Linked DNA regions of Canis lupus familiaris. The protein of the gene in region 1 purifies or fractionates together with the protein of each later gene. This does not show direct contact. Links are inferred from orthologs where the notes say so. Each region holds a gene or a part of one and is shown in the gene's direction. Other genes may lie near its edges.

What was found.
Region 2: the proteins of SMARCA5 (region 1) and BPTF purify together in Homo sapiens (affinity purification with mass spectrometry; 4 studies listed by BioGRID and IntAct, with this or other methods). This does not show direct contact. The link is inferred for Canis lupus familiaris from reciprocal best matches to the Homo sapiens genes SMARCA5 and BPTF.

The regions. Positions count from the first base shown.
Region 1 is NC_049236.1:43,053,848-43,058,060, forward strand, and holds part of SMARCA5 (SWI/SNF-related matrix-associated actin-dependent regulator of chromatin subfamily A member 5), read left to right. Parts: intron 1-605; coding exon 606-754; intron 755-950; coding exon 951-1,070; intron 1,071-1,898; coding exon 1,899-2,009; intron 2,010-2,335; coding exon 2,336-2,449; intron 2,450-2,850; coding exon 2,851-2,973; intron 2,974-3,729; coding exon 3,730-3,862; intron 3,863-4,213. UniProt on the Homo sapiens protein: ATPase that possesses intrinsic ATP-dependent nucleosome-remodeling activity.
Region 2 is NC_049230.1:14,279,395-14,283,607, forward strand, and holds part of BPTF (nucleosome-remodeling factor subunit BPTF), read left to right. Parts: intron 1-1; coding exon 2-181; intron 182-1,263; coding exon 1,264-3,559; intron 3,560-4,213. UniProt on the Homo sapiens protein: Regulatory subunit of the ATP-dependent NURF-1 and NURF-5 ISWI chromatin remodeling complexes, which form ordered nucleosome arrays on chromatin and facilitate access to DNA during DNA-templated processes such as DNA replication, transcription, and repair.

The DNA.
Region 1 (4,213 bases):
CCCCCACTTCACTTTTCGAAGAAAAAGCTGATTGGGGAGTACTAGTATTAATGTCTTTCTGCTTATCAGAACTTCTTGTGATTATGATTTGATCTCTTGATATTTAAAAAAAAAACTTGCTAATTGTGATTTTCAAATATTCCAGCATGATACTATTCAGCCCATATAAGAATACTTTTTATTGGGCAGCCCCGGTGGTGCAGCGGTTTGGCGCCGCCTGCAGCCTGGGGTGTGATCCTGGAGACCCGGGATCGAGTCCCACGTCGGGCTTCCTGCATGGAGCCTGCTTCTCCCTCTGCCTGTGTCTCTGCCTCTCTCTCGTTCTCTCTGAATGAATGAATAAATAAAATCTTTTTTTTTAAAAAAAGAATACTTTTTATTGAGATATGGTATGCAGTAGGTTTCATTATGTAATGATGGATTAACAGGATATTTCAAAGTTTACAACTAAGAGTGGCATATTTTTATGTGAGAATCAGAATTATCGGCAGTGAATAAACATGATTAATATTTGAGGCAAAATACATGGTATTACATCTAACATTTAAAATTCCAAGTTTCAAAACAACCTTGATTAACATTATACAACATTTTTTTTTTTCCAGGAAGACTTGTGGATCAGAATCTGAACAAAATTGGGAAAGATGAAATGCTTCAAATGATTAGACATGGGGCAACACATGTATTTGCTTCAAAAGAAAGTGAGATTACTGATGAGGATATTGATGGTATCTTGGAAAGAGGTGCAAAGAAGGTGAGGTGTAGATTAAATGATTATGTTTTTAATATAAAATCTTTTAAATCAGAACTGTTTGAGGAAATACGTATGTGAGCCATAAAAAGGAGTTTTTGTGTACTGCAGAGCCTAACTTATTTTGACTACAGTTCTCAAGGTTTTTTTTTGTTTTGTTTTTAATTCTCAATATAATAAAGTGGTTTTTTACCCCTAGACTGCAGAGATGAATGAAAAGCTCTCCAAAATGGGTGAAAGCTCACTTAGAAACTTTACAATGGATACAGAGTCGAGTGTTTATAACTTTGAAGGAGAGGATTATAGAGAAAAACAAAAGGTAACTTGAGAAAGCTATTTTGGTTACTTGAAGGCCTTACTTTACTTAAAACTTGCGATTTTAAGTGTTAGCTGTAACACCTTGTAAATTTGTCTCCAAGCAGTCATTTTTATATATTCACATCTAAATTATTTTCATTTTTACATGTAATATCAAATTTTCAGTTAGTAATCTCTGAAATGTTTTAAAAGCTTATGTAATGAGGCTTACTATATACACTGTTAGAGTTGAAATATATTGTAGGGGTGATTATAATTTAGAATCTTTGAAAACAAATAATTGGCAGAATTAACATAACCTTACTAGATTTTTTTTAAAAGACATAATTGGCTGGTAGTGATTAAAGGGGAAAAACTTCGTAATTTCTTAAGTAATATTTGTTAATATATAGTGAAATTAGAAAATACAAGTTGGAAGAAAAATAGTTCTACTCAATGTTTTTTCTGTTAACATTTAAGCTTTGTATATCCTCTGGATTTGTTCTAGGCTAAATACATATCTATATTTTTCTCCTAGTTTGAGTTATAGCATTTTCTGTAGGTCTGGTCCTTCCTCCTCCTCACCAGATAAAATGTTCTCCATTTGGTCAAGAAATACTTAAGTATATCTTTGCTATTCACCATGTACTGTGCAGTGTATTAATTACATAGTTTTGAGCAAAGTATAGTCCCTTATCCTTGAAGAGCCAATGGTCCAGGATTTTATGAATATCTTGCCACTTACAAATAACAGTTGTAATGATGTATACACAGTATGAATTGCATTCATCTAAGATTTGTGACTGTAAACAGTCAAAGTTGGTGATTTGCATTGTTTCCTGTATGCTAGATTGCATTCACAGAGTGGATTGAACCACCTAAACGAGAAAGAAAAGCCAACTATGCTGTCGATGCCTATTTTAGGGAAGCTCTTCGTGTCAGCGAACCTAAAGCACCCAAGGTGAGTTGATGGAGCAATAAAATATCCAAAAATACTAGAATTGTAAATATTTTTCTTATATTCTTAATATTAAAGTTAGATTGAGAATTAAAATCTTCTGTGGCTTCTTACAGTGTATTTCCATCAGTTTTCATTAAAAAGTTTTCTTAAAAATTAGTTGTAAGTATATGCATTTAAAGTTTGATTAATGTTCACTATTAATGATAAATTCAGTTGCTTGGAGAATTAGCCATCATAAGTTTTGAGAGAGGAAGTTACAATTAAAATCAAAGCAAAACTTTTTTTTTTATGGGTAATACTGTGTTTTGTTTTTTTTTTTTCTCTAGGCTCCTCGGCCTCCAAAACAACCTAATGTTCAGGATTTCCAGTTCTTTCCTCCACGTTTATTTGAATTATTGGAAAAAGAAATTCTGTATTACAGAAAAACAATTGGGTACAAGGTAATGGAAATAACATTTTGTTCATAACTAACCTGGTTTTGTTCTTAATTTAGTAAATGGAGGGTATATCAAGTTTTTTTTTTTTTTTTTCACGGTTGGATTAAAACTTGTAAAACGTTATTTGGTTGGTTAAGAATTTAGGGCAGCCCCGGTGGCGCAGCGGTTTGGCTCCGCCTGCAGCCCAGGGTGTGATCCTGGAGACCCGGGATCGAGTCCCACATCGGGCTCCTTGCATGGAGCCTGCTTCTCCCTCTGCCTGTGTCTCTGCCTCTCTCTCTCTCTCTCTCTGTGTCTCTCATGAATAAATAAATAAAATTAAAATCTTAAAAAAAAAAAAAAAAGAATTCATCACATACTTTCTAAAATCTACTGATGGATGATATAAACAAATATTTTTTTAGGTGCCTCGAAATCCTGACCTACCAAATGCAGCACAGGCACAAAAAGAAGAACAGCTTAAAATTGATGAAGCTGAACCCCTTAATGATGAAGAGTTAGAGGAAAAAGAGAAACTTCTAACACAGGTATATATAGTCTTTATTCAACATAAAATTTAGTGTAACCATTACTTTGTAAGGGTACTATGCTTAGGTATGTTGGGGTACACAGAGAAGTACATGTTTTGTCTTTCAAAAAGTAAGTAATTGAAGATGATAAAGCATGAGCCATATGGGTGTATGCTACAGTTTGATTGTCACTAGTTGTTGAAGTAGAGAAAGAGTATAGATTTGCGCAAGCCTTACAGTGGATATGTTTTTTATTACGTTTCTTCCAGTATTCATTTTCTTTTCCTGTGAATCTTCCACATTGGTACTAAGTTACTGTTCTCAATTACAAGTCTCTTTTTGGTACTTTTTTGTTTAACAACCTTTAGGGTTTAATCAGGATCTTTTAGAATCTGGCCTTAACGTACTTTTGAAGCTTTATTTTTCTTCCACTTTCCTAATTGTTATTTCTTTGCTCTTTAGTGTATGTTTATTGCTCTTTGCAAACTCCTGCTTATCCTTCAAAATACCGCAAAATCACTTTCTCACAAAATCTCTTTTTCACAAAGCATTCCTCTCTTCCACTCAGATTTAATTGCTTGGTTATGTAAACAATATGTGATATATTGCTAAAAATACAGATCTATGTGTATGAAAAATTACCACTTTAAAATAACTTAAAATCTAGGAGTAATTGAAAATTTTCTAATACTTCAGACATACTCGTAAGTGAAATAGCATTTTACCCATGTTCACTCTGCTGTTATTATATGTTTTGTTTCCATTGCTTTGAAGGGATTTACCAATTGGAATAAGAGAGATTTTAACCAGTTTATCAAAGCTAATGAGAAGTGGGGTCGTGATGATATTGAAAATATAGCAAGAGAAGTAGAAGGGAAAACTCCAGAAGAAGTTATTGAATACTCAGGTAATTTTTAAATCATTTTAATAGATTAAAAAATATTCTCAGGTTTTTGGAGTGCTATTTGGGGAGTTCAGGTTTTATTATTCTGAGTTATGTTTTGATAAGCTAAATTTTGCCACAAGTTTTAGGGCTGTATTTTTTTTGTGTTTTTAAAAAACTGAGTTGGAAAGAAAATGTCCTCTTTTTTAAAATGGCATAGTTTTTTTTTTTTTTTTTTTTTTTCACCCCAGCTAACTGGCTATTGCCAAGAAAATAAGAATAGGTCATTGAATAATTATGCTTTCATTTTATTTTTCTCCACAACTTCTTAAGCACTATGTGCCATTGTTTCCTGAAATCACTTGAATTGTCAAG
Region 2 (4,213 bases), on another chromosome or scaffold:
GCCAAAAATAATGTGGATGAAAATATGGATGAATCAGATAGACGAAAAAGTCCACGGAGTCCAAAAAAAATAAAAACAGAGCCTGATTCTGAGAAAGGCGAGGTAAAAGATTCAGATGCTGCAAAAGGGGCAGACCAAAGTGAAATGGACGTTTCCAAGATTACTGAGAAGAAGGACCAAGGTAAGGAGAGTCCGGTGTGGAGGGCAGCCTGGGGGTGATAAGATTGTAATGGATCTGGTTCGCACAGCAGGAGAGGTACTGCCTTATGTTTCTTTAATAGCAGCTTTATTGAATCACAGCTCATTTACTATATAACTAACCCATTTAGAATGTACAGTGGTTTTTAGTATTTCACAGAGCTGTTCAGCTGTCACCACAGTCCATTTTAGAACATTTTCACCACCCCAAAAATAAACTTCATACTCCTTAGTACCCAGTTTCTAATCCTCCCTAAATCCCCCCAGCCTACTAGTCTACTTACTGTCTCTATGGATTGGCCCTATTTTGGATATTCTGTATGAATGGAATCACGTAATACATGGTCTTTTGTGACTTGGTGTAATGTTTTCAGGATTCACCCATGTTATAGCATATGTCAGCATTTTATCATTCCTTTTTAGTTCTGAATAATAGTCCATTGTATGGACGTGCCACATTTTGTTTATCCATTCATCAATTGATGGACTTTTGGGTTGTTTCTACTTTTTGGCTATTATGAATACTGATAAGGACATCCTTGTACAAGTTCTTATGTAGACATATGTTTTCATCCCTCTTGGGTAAAGACCTAGTAGTGGAATCCCAGGTCATGAGCTAATAACTCTGTGTCCAGCCTTCTGAGGAACTTATACTGTCTTTTGTGAAAAGTCATTCTTTAAAAACTAGGTAAGCTAGATAATGTATAAGCCTTAAGATATTTTATGACTATGAAATATCTTACATAAAATTTTCCATGAAGGTACTGGAGTATGGGGTAACTGTCACATGCTAAGTAATTTTTCTTTTAACATTCCAACTTCAGATACTAAGAATCAGAGTATTTAAATATTTACAAAATGTCTGTTTTTTAACCTTTTATAAAGTTTAGCCCTGTCCATTGACCTATCTTAATCATGTATCAGGAGCTTTCAAATATGTATATTTACACTGAAGCCCCGTGAGTGAAATGAAAATAAACATTGGTGGTTTTTAAAATAAAAATATTGTGAATTCCACATTTGAGACTAAAAGTTAGCACTTACATAAATGTGTTTGTTTCACAGATGTACAAGAAATTTTAGATTCTGACAATGAGAAACCCTTTAAGGAAGAACCAATGGAGATAGATGATGATGTGAAAACAGAGCCGCATATAAACTGTCAGGAAGGTTCTCAAGTAGATGTGGTCAATGTCAGTGAGGGCTTCCATCTAAGGACTAGTTATAAAAAGAAAATTAAATCATCCAAACTAGATGGACTTCTTGAAAGGAGAGTTAAACAGTTTACACTGGAAGAAAAACAGCGCCTTGAGAAAATGAAGTTGGAGGGTGGAATTAAGGGTATAGGGAAGACGTGTACAAGTTCTTTGAAAAGCCTTTCTGAATCATCAGTAATAACAAAAGCAAAAGAAGGGTGTCAAAGTGACTCGCTTAGACAAGAACAAAGCCCTAACACAAGTAATGGTAAAACTGAAGATGTGATTCGAGGATGTTCACAAAGCGATTCCTCAATTCTTAGAATCAATGATCCTGATCATACAACAAACAGACTTTATCCAAAAGAGCAAATGTTAGATGACATCTCCATTCAGAGCCCAGAGACAAACTGTCAGAAACAGAATTCTGTTGGAAATGACATAAATGAGAGTCTCTCTCAACCTACCAGTCAAGGCCAGGAACTTAATAAGGTTAAAACAAGAGGAAGTGACTTTCTCATTGATGACTCCAAACTAGCCAGTGCAGATGGAATTGGTACTTTGATCTATAAGAACAAAAAAACACTCATACAGGAGGATAATGACACCATTGTTTCTCCTTCCCAGAGCCCTTCACTTCCATCAGTACCTAAAAGTACTGATGATAGAGATCCCCCATCTCTGTCAAAAGCAGTAGACTTTGAAGGAAAACTAGGATGTATCTCTGAATATAACAGCACTTTGGAAAATAGTTCTGATACTATGTCTATTCAGGACAGCAGTGAAGAAGATATGATTGTTCAGAATAGCAATGAAAGTCTTTCTGAGCAATTTGTAACTCAAGAACAAGGTATTGAAGGCTTGGAACCATTGAAACGTGAGTTTGTTCCAGATAAGTCCACTAGCAACTATAAGAGACCACAGGGTAAGGTAACTGAAGCAAATGGTAGGAAGCCAAGTCAAGAACAGAAATTAGAGGAGAGATCAGTTAATAAATGTATTGATCAAATCAATCTAAAAAGTAGCACTGACAGAAAGAATAATGAAAATAGAGAGTCTGAAAAGAAAGGACAGAAAGCAAGTACTTATCAAATAAATGGAAAAGATAATAAACCCAAAACATATTTAAAAGGGGAATCCTTGAAAGAAATCTCTGCGAGTAAAGTAGCAAGTGGTGATCTTGAATCAAAGCTTAATAATATAAATAAAATAATTCCTGAAAATGATATTAAGTCATTGACTGTTAAAGAATCTGCTGTAAAGCCATTCATGAATGGCGATGTCATCATGGAAGATTTTAATGAAAAAAACAACTTGGAAACAAAATCACGTTTACTGAGATCTTCAGATGCTGCATGCGACTACCAAGATGGCCTAGACACCCTGCCATCAACCAAAGAGTCTGAGACCATGCCTCCACTGTCTTGTCCAGAAAACAGTTCAACAAATCAGGTAGAAGATATGGAAATTGAAACCTCAGAAGTTAAGAAAGTTACTCCCTCACCTATTACTTCTGGAGAGGAATCTAACCTCAGTAATGATTTCGTTGATGAAAATGGTCTGCCCACCAACAGAGATGAAAATATCAACGGAGAGTCTAAGAGAAAAACAGTTATCACAGAAGTCACCACCATGACATCCACGGTGGCCACAGAATCAAAAACTGTAATCAAAGTAGCAAAAGGGGATAAGCAGACTGTGGTCTCTTCCACAGAAAATTGTGCCAAGTCCACTGTCACAACCACCACTACAACAGTCACAAAGCTATCCACACCCTCCACAGGCAGCAGTGTGGACATCATCTCTGTGAAGGAGCAGAGCAAAACTGTGGTCACCACAACAGTGACAGATTCGCTGACCACTGCAGGGGGCACTCTAGTGACATCTATGACCGTGAGCAAAGAGTATTCCACAAGAGATAAAGTGAAACTCATGAAATTTTCAAGACCCAAGAAGACTCGTTCAGGTACAGCTCTGCCATCGTATAGAAAGTTTGTCACCAAGAGCAGCAAGAAGAGCATATTTGTTTTACCTAATGATGACTTAAAAAAGTTGGCCAGGAAAGGAGGAATCCGAGAAGTCCCTTATTTTAATTACAATGCAAAACCTGCCTTGGACATATGGCCTTATCCTTCTCCTAGACCAACCTTTGGTATCACTTGGAGGTATGTACTTTAAAATGTATTTGGGGAAGGGAGAAAGTCTTAAAAGCATTTTTGAGTAAGCATATCTCATTTTTTACAGAAAAAAAATGAGATAATAAGAGGGAAGCAGAAATTTAATAAGCCAGGTTAGTAATGGAAATAAGATAACAGAGAATCTTGAATTTGGCTGGCTGGGAGGTACTCAAGTTTACTTAGGGTAAAACTTTAGGGGAAAATGTTAAGAGACTTGAAAAGATCTAAATCTTTAAAATGAAATTGAGTTTTACTTTCCTCAAGACAGAAGAAACATGTCAAATATAGTTGGTTTTGTGGTTTAACTTTCTGAGTTATTGCCATGTGTTTGCCTTGGGAATGAGAATAAGAGACTTGGATAGTCCACTTTCTGGAATGTTTGTATTTTATTTCTATTAGGTAATTCATAGAAACATAAGACATAGGAAACATGCCTGTGAATCACACCGAGTTCATCATAATGTGGAAATCTTCCTAAAATAATTTATTTGCATGATAAACATTTGTTTTGGAGTTCTCTGTTATTTATGTGAGGAGAGGTCTCTGAGATTCCTTAGGGATTTTTTAAAACCCAGAAATAGTCTTAATTTAAAATTTTCTGGGCATTAAGCTTTGGGGATGAGTCATAAGTACATAGTGTTG